3 linked regions of the Bombyx mori genome follow. Each later gene encodes a partner of the first gene's protein in a complex. Links are inferred from orthologs where the notes say so. Each region holds a gene or a part of one and is shown in the gene's direction. Other genes may lie near its edges.

Evidence for each region. Proteins that work in one complex are often made in the same cells at the same time.
Region 2: mediator of RNA polymerase II transcription subunit 24 (region 1) and mediator of RNA polymerase II transcription subunit 23 share a complex: the UniProt entries of both Drosophila melanogaster proteins name them as parts of the mediator complex. The link is inferred for Bombyx mori from reciprocal best matches to the Drosophila melanogaster genes MED24 and MED23.
Region 3: mediator of RNA polymerase II transcription subunit 24 (region 1) and mediator of RNA polymerase II transcription subunit 9 share a complex: the UniProt entries of both Drosophila melanogaster proteins name them as parts of the mediator complex. The link is inferred for Bombyx mori from reciprocal best matches to the Drosophila melanogaster genes MED24 and MED9.

Annotation. Positions count from the first base shown.
Region 1 is NC_085113.1:5,801,167-5,806,763, reverse strand, and holds the start of mediator of RNA polymerase II transcription subunit 24, read left to right. Parts: upstream 1-1,907; 5' UTR 1,908-2,633; coding exon 2,634-5,561; 3' UTR 5,562-5,597. UniProt on the Drosophila melanogaster protein: Component of the Mediator complex, a coactivator involved in the regulated transcription of nearly all RNA polymerase II-dependent genes.
Region 2 is NC_085107.1:8,842,402-8,846,453, reverse strand, and holds the start of mediator of RNA polymerase II transcription subunit 23, read left to right. Parts: upstream 1-1,252; 5' UTR 1,253-1,933; coding exon 1,934-2,056; intron 2,057-4,052. UniProt on the Drosophila melanogaster protein: Component of the Mediator complex, a coactivator involved in the regulated transcription of nearly all RNA polymerase II-dependent genes.
Region 3 is NC_085116.1:15,850,796-15,854,013, forward strand, and holds mediator of RNA polymerase II transcription subunit 9, read left to right. Parts: upstream 1-1,454; 5' UTR 1,455-1,731; coding exon 1,732-1,835; intron 1,836-1,918; coding exon 1,919-2,024; intron 2,025-2,214; coding exon 2,215-2,355; 3' UTR 2,356-2,718; downstream 2,719-3,218. UniProt on the Drosophila melanogaster protein: Component of the Mediator complex, a coactivator involved in the regulated transcription of nearly all RNA polymerase II-dependent genes.

The DNA of each region.
Region 1 (5,597 bases):
ATAAAAAATCGGTTAGAATGGTTTCTTGAATCTAATGATATTCTTGCTCCGAACCAATACGGCTTTAGGAAAGGTCGGAGCACTATGGATAGTCTTGGAATATTTACAACTGATATTAGATTATCCTTTAGTAATAATGAATCAACACTTGCAGCATTTTTAGATATACATGCTGCTTACGATAACGTCGATCTTCACATATTAAAGCTAAAACTCCTTAAGCTCAATGTTCCCTTTTTGATTACTAATTTTATTATTAATTACTTGTCTGGTAGAGTAATAACTATGGATACGGGCGATTCAAACCATAAATCTAGAACTTTATGGAAGGGCTTACCCCAGGGATGTGTTATTAGCCCTACTTTGTATAACATTTACACACATGACCTAGATAAAGCAATTCAAATACCTAATGGTGATTCTAATAACGTGTCTATATTACAATATGCAGATGATCTAGTTTTATACGTTTCAGGGCGATCTGTTTTAGAATTAAGTGACTTTTTAAGTCGAGCACTGTCCAAACTTAAATTTTGGCTTGTCTCCAACGCTCTTAATCTTTCTGTTTCAAAAAGTTGCATTGTGTTATTTTCTAGAATGCGGCTTCCTCCTCCTGTTTCCGTATATTTTGATAATGAACTTATTCCATCTGAAAATGAAATAAAATTTTTAGGAGTTATTCTAGACGCCAAATTATCAGGTTTATCACATTGTTATTACGTTATAGCTAGATGCGAACGAGTTTTGAATATTATGAGATGTTTAACTGGAGTCTGGTGGGGTGGACATCCATATAATCTAAAGCTCCTATACAACGCTCTCATACGAAGTATTTTAGATTATGGTACTTACTTTCTTGAACCATGTAATGCAGTCGGACTAAATAAGCTTGATGGCATACAATCAAAAGCTCTCCGTTTAATAACCGGTGCAATGAAATCTAGTCCTATCAATGCTTTACAAGTTGAGTGTGTTGACCCTCCTCTGCGACTCCGTCGTCAATATCTTTGTGACAAGTTTCTGTTCCGTGCTCTACAATTTACCAAGCATCCCCTTCATACCAAATTATCTACTTTATCACATTTAGTTTCATCTTCCCCCTACTGGAGGCACAAGTCTCTACCTTGTTTAGTCGTGAGTTTTCGTAAATTTTCCTCTTTGCTTGCCCCCACTCACATGTCTCATCGTCTCTCTATTTTTTCTGCTGAATATGAAGCATTAACTCTTGTTCCTAAAATTCATTTTACCTTAGATATATCTCGATCTATTTTTTCTGCCAATATCGATTTTAATATCATCTTAGATAGAGAGTGGTCAGATCGACATTACATTTATAGCGATGCATCTAAAAATTCTTCCTCTGGTCTCGTTGGTGTTGGAGTTTATCATCAACAATCAAAAATTGTCCAAAAAATTAAACTTCCACCAGAAAGCTCTGTTTTTACTGGGGAATGCTACGGATTATTTAAAGCTATAGAATATGTTAATTTGATGAAATTACATAAATCTGTTATTTTTTCTGATTCCAAAAGTGCGCTTCAGGCACTTCAGAAATTTCCTTTCAAATCTTGCGCCAATTACCCTGTTATTGTAGATTGTAGAAAATTACTGTGGGAATGTAATTTAAAAGGTTTCGATGTAATTTTTGCCTGGATTCCTAGTCACGTGGGTATTTCTGGCAATGAATTTGCTGATAAACTTGCCAATGATGCTGTGGATTGTGGAGATATTTATCCATACAAAATCTTCATAAATGATCTTTTGTGTCTTCCGAATTCAGACCTGCGCGAATCTTGGGGACAAACATGGGCTATTTCTAGTCAATATAAAGGAAAGAATTATGCCCAAATACAATCTGTCATTCCTACCAAGCCTTGGTTTTACAATTTTAGATTTAATAAGATCACGACTACTATCATAATCCGGATGAGACTGGGTCATGCTTGCACTCCATCTCATTTGACTAGATTGGGTATAGTCAATAACAATATGTGTGATTGCGGCGCTGATGTTGGCAATTTAAATCATATTTTTTTCGCGTGCTCCTTAAATGACTGTTCCTCATTTATTGATTTATTAACATCCCTTGGTATTCCACTCCCGACTTCTATTAATACTTTGCTGTGTACTATGAACTATGATATTTATTTATGTATTTCAAATTTTATCCTGAAACATAATATCAAATTGTAATTATGTATATAAATACCTACCTGATCCATTCTTTTTAATTATCCGTTTTTTCCTTTTTCTCCTGTTTCCCTACCTTTACCCTTGTATGTGGCTAAATGCACAAACAGTGCAAGCTAAAAAAGAAAAAAAAAAAAAAAAAAAAAAAAAAAAAAAAAAAATGTCTATTTTGTGATTGGGCTATTATTATTCAAGTTTGATCATATAAAGTAATGTTTATTCTCAAATGCTCGCTATAAATAAAATATCTTTAAAAATGTGATAAACTTAATATGCCACACAAATATAACGAATTAATTTCAATATTCAACAGTGAACAAGAAAATGTAATTTGTAACCTCAAAGACTAGTAGTAAAGTGTTGTTTAAACGACTAATATCACGTCAAAAATGTGTGAAATGTAAGAAAGAAACATTATTGTGCTCTAATAAAATACAATAAAAATGGATGCTTCCAAAATAACGAGTAAAACTAGTTCACTAAAAGCTTTAATTTTAAAAGCTTGGAAAGAACGATGGACTGATATTCAATGGGGCATCAACATCAAAACTATACTGCCGAGGGGCGTCAGTGGTGACCTATATAATCTGGCTGATTGTATTCTTCAACAAGCCATGGTAGGCTGTGGGGCCAATCAGTTAGTGATATCGTATTTGAAACATTCACTTGCGTGTCATTTGGTCTCTTTCGCGGCTGTGTTACAACGAATCGCAAAATTTGATGCTTTTCACAAACCTCATTGTATAATAAGCTTGTTGGAGTTCCTTGAAACCTTTTTGGAGAGTATTACATGCAGAGGCAAGTTAGAAGAAGAAGTTTTAGCTTATGCTGTATCATCTATAATATTGTGGCTTTTACAAGTATTTCACTATTCATTAACCAAGTATCCAGCTTCAAGTTCTGTTCAAAGTCAGGAATTATTGGAGAAATCATCAGTTTTACTGAACTCTATTGTTAATACAGATTTTCTGATTGCAATGTTCTATTTGGCCAAGCAGAATGATCCTGATGAGTATAACGAAGTGACAAAGAAATGTCAAGAGATAACAGCATTTATGATGATGAACACTCAATTCAAACCTCCGATGACCATACATGTCACTTTACACAAAATCTGCAATATGGAATTGGATAAAATAGCACCCTTAAACAATAAACCAGAAGCTGTAACCTATTGTCTGCAGGCTTTAATAGCTATAAATGTGTTCTCAAACCCTAGTGCAGGCATGCAACAGATCTCCAGCCAACTACTAATGGTTCAGAAAATAAAAGGCTATTCATTGTCACGTCTCTACTGTGAACTTATTAGAGCTTGTTTCATTTCACTAAATGATTCTAGTAATGATGCATCGAAGCAATCATTGTGGGCTGCATTCACTTTTCTAAAAGTTCCACAAGTGATAAATCACCTCCATAATATGTGTGGGACAACAAATAAGGAAAGTGAATATTCTACTGAGGTTGTGGAAGCTTTTGAAATGTTATTACAATCAGCTCCACTCCTGGATATTGTTGATACGAAGAATTCTTGTAATAGTGTTATTTCACTTATAGAGCCATTAGTTAAACTTAATGTTCTGTCAGATAATACTTTGACATATTTTAAACAAAAACGTGAGACTATTGATCATCCTTTACAAAAATTTGAGCCAATAGGATTACAAGGCTCAGTCCCATTATTTATAACTCGTGTTGAACCTACATTGGCAGAGATTTTAAAAGCATTGAGTGGTGAATTTCACAAAACTCAAGAGTCGCTCTATATCATGCTATGCCAAATAGTTGGTCGAACTACATTGGATACCATCCTGGCCGTTGCAACTGTGGAAGGAAAACTAAAAATGTTTGTGTCAAGACTCATTAAGTTTAATGAATTTGCATTGTTTGCTGCAAGTGAAAAAGGTGCACCACAATCAAAAGTATATATATTTGACATTTCATTTTTGCTTTTATGTTGGATAGTCCAAGATTATGGAGCTGATGTTGTTCTAGAAGAAAATGGTGATTCATTTTTTGAGAAATGGGTAAGGGATTGTATGGTACATAAAGGAAATTATAAATCTTCAGATCAGATACTTCAGAAATGTGATCATGTTGTTGATGTTATCATTCACCATTTGAGTGCTCCTGACTTTGATTTCAAAAATACTAATGTCAAACCTCATGATCTTTGTATGAATATCACTGGTGCAGTCAAAGAGGTTCTTTTTGCTTGGGAACAAGGTCTACTTTCGGCAACAGATGTTAAAAGAATGTTGGATTCTATAAGACAAAAAATGGCTTCCTTGGCAGTGTGTGCATCAGTATGGCTTTGTTCATACATCAATGTTGTCCATCAAGATGCATCAATAAAACCCATGAATATGGTTCAGCAATTTTTAACATCACCTACTGAATTAGAATTAACTCAAATAGACAATTTTCAAGAAAGAGCAATTTTGATGTGTCAGATAATAAGAAAATTACTGTTTAAAATTCATCCTACCTCAATGCCAAAATCAAAAGAGCAGCAGTTGCCATACAGTATCACCTCTCGCAAGCCAATATTAGAGCAACTACAAAGCATTTGGGAAAATATAAAGTCTAGAGGATACCTTCATATTGATGCTACCCATCTCGTTGAGAATCTTTTGAACACAACTGGCCCAATATGGTTTGTGACGAACTTAGTGAAAGAGACATTAAAATTTCGGTACCAAGTAGATCTCGATAGATCTGTTGATATTGTGTTGGCGATGTTCCATTTGGACATAGAAAAGTGCACAGGAGCACTTTTATTACATGTTCTACCACAATACCTGTATAATTCTAAGTTGTCTGAAGAGCTAGTTGAACCCCAGTCTTCTGTATTAGCCAAGCTAGCAGTGTATTGCATATATGCTGCCTTAGATTACAGCAACACTAAAAAGTCGCATTTTTCGAGGAAGCGTCGTCATGACGAAGTTGAGGATTTGGATGCGATGTCGTCTAGTAAAATGCGGAAACTCAACGACAATACATCCGATGGAAGTGGTGTTTATTATTGTAAGGGACAAGGATATGAAATATCATTAAAAGAACCATTGTTGTCAGCTTTAGAAACGCTGTATGCGTCCTTTTCACAACTAGCTGGCAAGGACGGAAATATCACACCCCAAACACATTTTATACTTCAGTTCTTGATTTATGTGGTTCAATGTGGCCAAGATAGGGCCCAGTTAGTATTACAGAAAATGCCTAGTGAACTCGTACCAACTTTAATTAAAGCTCTACCTGACAATTTTAACATTGGTCTGATTTTACGCTTATATAATTTGAATACTGCTTACGGAAGAAAAGACACCGCGAGAGATCTATGCCTTTTACGAAATATGAGGTTAAGGCCAGAATAATAAATAAAAAATCATAGTAATAAATTAATAAGATAA
Region 2 (4,052 bases), on another chromosome or scaffold:
AACTTCCTATTAACTTTCCCCACTAAAACGGTAGTCTACTTGCTTGGATCTTTCATAAACGCTAATAGTATAAAATTGTAGTTCCTACTAACTGTTTAATGCAAAAAAAATTAAACTAAATAGGTCTTAGCATAATTATGTTGAGATATAGCACTAGCTGCGTGTCGCCGCACTAGTAATGTTGACTTGTTACCATGGATACATTCTCTACTTAATAAGATTGTGTCATGTGAATAAAATATAATTTGTGATATTAAAAAACCGAGTCTGCTTATTCTTCCACATAAAATCTTAACAAATTATGTTGATACCTCCACTACCCGACGTTGGCAAAGTTGTATTTAAATCTAAGTAACAAAAGCCAGAAAGAAAGAAAAAGAAAACTATTTAAGTCAACTAAATAGTGACGTTGCACCGACACATGTGTAATATATTTATTAAATAATCTTCTGATGATATGTGCTATAAACAAGGATTTTCTCCGTATAACATAAGAAGCTTTAAAATTTGATCGTCAGATAATTTCTTCACCATTTTTAAGTAATTTATTCGCCCCAGTAATCCGCAAAAACAACCAACACGTGCTTACTGTGTCAGCACTGGAATGGCACTGGATCCAGGTGCACTGGATTGGTCGCACTGAATTCAAAAGTAGACCGCCAATCCAGTTACTGGACTGGAATGCTAACTGGATTCAGTGCATCCAGTGCCAGTTTACATTTTTCCAGTAAGCAATCCAGTGCTGGATTCGATCACTGGACTGGAATAGTGTAAACCGGGAATTATTTTATACAAAGAGTAAAGTTCAAACTTTTTTTTAAGGGATTTTATGACCCGGTGACTAAGACTTTTAAGTCATGTCTTATTTTAATTTTTTTTTTGAATTCTTATTTTTATGAAAAATAATGAAATGAAATGAAGATTATTTGTTTGAGACATGAATCAACTTGGATGAAATCAAATGAAGTGAGATGAGATGATATGGGATGAAATATAATCTCAGTAAAATGGTGCTAATTTACTGAGATTTTTTCAGTGGACTTTTTAGATGATCCCAAGAAGTAACGTCCAGCGGCTTTGTTTCATTTTCCCACATTTGTGCACTTTCATAGATATTAAACAGTTAATAAACCACCATTATTACATATTTAAACCCGAAGAAACACTAAATAGACAAAATAAAACAAATGACACAACTTCACTCCTCGCGTTCCCGCCAAAAAGTCCATTTCAAACTTTATTGTCCATTTTTTTTTTTTTTAAGAGATTTTATGACCTGGTAACTAAGACCTTTAAGTCATGTCTTATATTCTTAATTTTATGAAAAATGATAATATGGAGTGAAATGAAATGAAGATGATTAATTTGAAACATTAATCAACTGGGATGAAATTAAATGAAATGAGATGATATGGGATGAAATATAATCGCAGTAAAATGGTGGTCATTTACTGAGATTTTTTCAGTGGACTTTTTGGAGGAACCCGAGAAGTTACGTCCAGCAGCTTTGTTTCATTTTCCCACATTTGTGCACTTTCACAGATATTAAACAGTTAATAAACCACCGTTATTACACATTTAAACCTGAAGAAACACTAAATAGACAAAATAAAACAAATCACACAACTTCACTCCTCGCGTTCCCGCCAAAAAGTCCTTTATTGTCCAGTGTCCACATTTAGCATAGATTATTCAATGCATTTAGTCATTTATTAAATTTCGCGTAGTGATGGTTTAAGTATCCCAGTTTTTACTTGTTAACGTTGGCATGTAAATTTAAGAAGAACATAATTCCTAACAGCTGCATTTGTAATTAAAATTTCTTTCTTGAGTTAACTTCTTCCGTCAAAGATCTTATACATAATTATTATTCTGAAAGACATGTACCGATAACTTTGTAACCTTTCGGTGTTTTGTTGAAAGCGTAGTTTGGATGCTCCAGTGCTTAGCTAGTTTTTTGTATAAAGGTGACCGTCAATCCAAGCGCATGTTCGAGGAAAATATAATCACGGAAATGGCCGATTCGCAAGTCGCCAACATAGTGAATGAAATATTGGTAAATATATTTTTCTTGGTTAATAATATATTGGTAAATATAAAGGTAAACGTTCTACTGTGCCCTGCATCTGTGAAAATAATAGGTACTGACAAAAAAATTACTCACATGATCATCTACATTAATTATGAACAAAATGTTGTTTACTATTGTTTGTTTTTCATGAATAAAACCTACAAATAATCGAACTTGTTTCTTAGTTGCAAACATGGACTCATGAGCTGATGGTAAGTTGTACTTCGAGATCAGAGGTTTTATGAATAAAAATTAATTTCATCTCATTCATTACGCGCTGAATATGTACTGTTCTGCGTTTATTAATATTTGTGTCCACGTGCTTATTGTATGTAGCTGGCTTGATGTGAAGGTTGATTGCTTCATTTATGTTTAGGTTTAAAGCATCTAGCGTGTTTACAATGTGTAATAAATTTAGTCTAACATGGAACGTAAGGACTAAGTATCAAATGAATAAAAAAGCAATTATGTTATGAAAATAACAGAATATTTCAAATTTCATTAAAACTATGGAATTGTCAACTCTATTTTACTGTTGCCAAGTTAACCTTATGCATTTGTTTCAGTTTTTAAGATAAATTAATATCTCAAATATTTGTTTTATTCTGAATTAAACTTTGACCGATGGGCTAGATTTATCACAGAATGTAAATTGTACATAGCACTGTAGCAAATGATAAAATTTGTAAAGGGATTAAACTAGAAACCTTGTTTTTTAATCAACTAAGACATCTTAAAGTATAAAACTATTGATAAATAAAATTTGCAGTGTCAGAACACCAAACTGTGAATTGGCAGCAATATTAAATAAAACATATTAATAGTACATTCAGTATATTGAAATAATATTTAAAATGCTGTTTGAAAATCTTTTACAAACTTCTTACAATAAAAAAACAATGAATGAGAATATTAAAATAGCTTTTTTAAATTACTCAGTTTAGAATTTTTAGTCTTATTTAATATTTAAGCATAATTTGCATTATGAACACATTTTCGTTTTTGCAAATTTTGTATATTCTTGAAACCTCTGATGTTCTTGAAATATTTTATGTGCTTATAATTGATGTATATGTTTGTGTTATGTAAGTGTTGTATACAGTTTTCATAAAAGTACTGAAAAATGTAAACAATTCTAAATTAGTGATCATCCTTGTTAACCTTCATGAAATAACATAAATTTAAAAAGGTCAATTATTTTAATTCAGCAGTAAAAAAATTTAAATATATTTGTTGTTTCCTTAATTGGTAACAAAAATTATCTAACTTATTTTTATATATATTGTTTACAGTTATCTGCACGTTTATTTAAACAGTACTTGTCTTGTCTCAAAACTTGCAGCTTTTTACTGATAAAAACTGTAAATCAATAAAAAATGTAACAATATTTTACAAACAGTATTAAGTAACTATTATAAATACATAAATAGATAAATTTACCAAACACATAAATAGATTATATAAATACATAAATAAATTACCTATTTTCATTCTTACTGTTATCAAATTCAAACATTAAAATTACTGGTCATAATTTAAGTCAATTTTGGGTCCTTTCATTTACCAACAATTTTCAATTATTTTAGAAGTGTGATTAAGAAATTTGCATCTGGGCATTATAATATCTTCCCATACTGTGTCCCCTACATTATTAGAGATTGGCAACAATTAAAGTTCTCCTATATGCTCAAGAGACAAATGGAAATTAATTACAGTAACTAAAGCGCTCATTTCTCCATTGTTGTGTCCTTAGTGAAAATAGCCTTTATAGATATTTTAATTATGTTACATTACATATTAACATACATAATCACTCGAGTTGTGAATTTATAGAATAACAGTGGAAAAAATAAGACACTTCCATATAATGAAATTGGAAAAGGGGTTTAAGATCAATATCAGCTGTATGTGACTTGGTGATTTGGGACACATGTGTTCTACTACCATCTCAGATACAAGCCCCTCTAATGTTCCTGCTTCT
Region 3 (3,218 bases), on another chromosome or scaffold:
GAAACTTTTTCAGTAAACTTTTTAGACGATCCCGAGAAGCAACGTCCAGCAGCTTTATTTCATTTTCCCACATTGGTGCACTTTCACAGATATTAAATTATTAATAAACCACCGTTATTGTTAAGTTACACATTTAATCCTGAATAAACACTAAATAGAAAAATAAAAAAATAAAAAAACTTCGTTCCTCGTATACCCTGTCAGAAACAAAATAACACACAGCAACACACTCTTAACTCATATTTTAATATACGTACGAACCATAGAAAATGATTCGGATAGAGCCTGCTACTGATGTTTCGAAGTGCCATTTGGCGTTCTTAAAATCTGATGCGATTTCAATACTAAAACGTATCACTACAGAGCTTCTTGATTTAGAAAGAATGGGGTATTTTATTACCGTAGCACCTCTGATTGATATATTTTTAATTAATTAAAATCACTAAGCACATATTATAATTAGTTGAGTAAAAACAATTACCTTCAGCGTGAATAAACTTAGTAGAATTTTAAAACTTTCGTAGAGTCGGGCCTAAAATTTATGCAGAATATAATGATAGGTAAGTAGTTTAAAAAATTTCTATTTTCTTAGTCGATTCCAAAATCTTGGCAGAAATAGGAGAAGATAACTTGTCTGAGTTGTGCTATTTTCTTAATCCAGTGTTTCTACAAGTTTAATAAATAGCAACGGTTTCGTATTCGTGAAAGTGGATAAGATTAAGAAAATGGAACCAAGTTGTTGAACTTGGTTTTTCAAGCGTTTCTAAAAAGTTAAGTGACGAGTAAACTCTCACTATTGTTCAGACTGATTAATTTATTTCGTCCCATAAAACACCGATGGTCATATAATTTCATTCAAATTCATTTTATTTCAAACATTTTTTTCATTTTATTTTACTTTTCTTTAACAGACATTACTACAGCCTTTGTAAAAAAAAGATGTGTGGTGTCGTGGGACACCGGATAGGAACGAAGTTCCTTATTATAAAAATATTAATTTCAAGTTCTATTCGAGGTCTAAAGAAAATAATTATTCAGGTATACATTTTTATTATTTTATTTTTTATTGATAAAAATATAATAATAATTACATTACAAAGTTATCAACTTTATTTTATTCACAATGATTTATAAAAAATTATAATAATAATATACAAAGAAACAGCTATTTATACGAATTATAATAATAACCGTCATCACGTAGACTATACATTAGACACTGTATAGCCATCGTACTAAGAATATACATAAAAAGAGAAAGGTATTATACACTACTCGCTTGTGTATATGACTGTCGCGCCTGCGCACGTCTTATTTAACGGTTTTATTCCACGGACTTTTTCTTACGGTTTTACTATCACATTTTTTTCAGTTCGGACGTGCAGCAAAATCCCTATCTCCTCCAAGCCTGCCGTAAAGAACTTCGTTCCAAAAATTTCGTGTATGAGCTTTATTTCCTTTGCTTGTCGAACACCGATCACACAAACATTCGACTTATTCTCCGCGATTTCGTCCATAGTCCATTGCTGTCCATAGATAACACAATAACACATCATTATTTTTGTCGTTTTCGGTTTTGTGATGGTAAAGAATCTACCTACTTTTTTACGTACCTAGGTTTATGTGTTTAATAACCATAATCTAATAAATTTATAAATTAATAAACAACGTACGTATAATAAAATCTGTTACATAATAAGCAAGTGAAAAATTGTGCTTAAAATTTGTACAATGGAAAACAACACAGATCATTCAGAACAGACGAACTACAGTCCCCTGACTGTTGAGGATGTAGATGTAGACTTTTTACCGATTGTATACGATATAATACGAAGGTATTTTGCGTATTATTTGAGACAAACTAGATTTGCTCAAGTTCATTTTGTATTTTCTGGTGCTTTAAATGTTTTTATTACAGCGTGGAGAGAGATTTTCACGACAACGCGTCGAAAATACGCGAGTCCCACGAGTGCAGTCATAGAGTTCTTGAATTACAAAAGAGGCTAGAAATAGCTAAAGCTCAGGTGAGATTACTTTCAAATACTGGAAACATACTTGGTATTTAACATTTGTAATGTAAAAATAATATGCTAAGTCAGCATAATTTTTGTATTTTGAGGAATCAAATTTATCATGAACTCATACACAAGTATCTGCCATAATATATCATCAACCAGTACACAATTATCTGCAATAATATATCACTCATTTCAGATCAGGAGGCTCCCAGGTATAGAATTCAACAAACACGACCAGCTGAAGCAATTTGAACTGCTCCGCACTCAGCTGAGATTAAAGCGTGAACTCTTACAGAAGTATCGGAATATGTGCTCATTTGAGACATCATTCAAGTGAAGATGCCTCTACGTGCGCTGCTTAAATACTTAGCCAATAATGAACGAATTGTACAGAAGATTGCAGAGTCCTACCCTGTACGAAGAGCAGCTCAGTTAGCTGTCTCAGTATTTTACAGAGGGAAGGAAAAGCTCTCTGATGTTGATCCACAGAAAGTTAATAAATTTATAGAGTTTTTAAAAAGGTTCAGTGCAAATTTGAAGGAAGGAGTACAGGATGCAAAAAAACAACTGAAAAAATAATAATAGTTCCTTGGATGTTTTTGGCTAACCATGGATTAGTTGCTGTTGATTGTAATTCACTATCAGTAGTGTCCTTTACATAATATAACTACTAAATTAGATAATAAAAAACTGTAACATAGTTAGAGCTATTTTTATTTCACTCACTCTGAACAAATCAATAAAAATATAAACTTTACTTAATTCTAAGAAAAAATCACAATATTGCAATGGTATTCATTGTAAATGTCAAAATATTGAAAATATATTTACTTTTAGAAAGCAGCTAGCTTCACTAATTTTATTGCGATTATAAGGTTTTCAGAGTTAAGGCAATGATGATTCAAAACTCTGATCTCATTAACTTTAATTTTTATTTTTAAGTGTTCAAATATTTTAAGTGACCCTAAAAGATTAAGCTTAGTGCTGTAAAAATATATACTTGAGTTTTAATTAGTGTTATAAGAACCTCGAGGTTATTAGTGATTTAACTTGCGAAAATATGCCGACCCATTGTGACAGGTGGATTAGCGGTATGGCTTGAGGCTGTCTAGATTAATCAGTGTCACTACGTCCCCAGAAAACGACAGGAGTTCTACCCTTGGTAGTAAAACTACTAAATTGTACTATGCAACAATCACT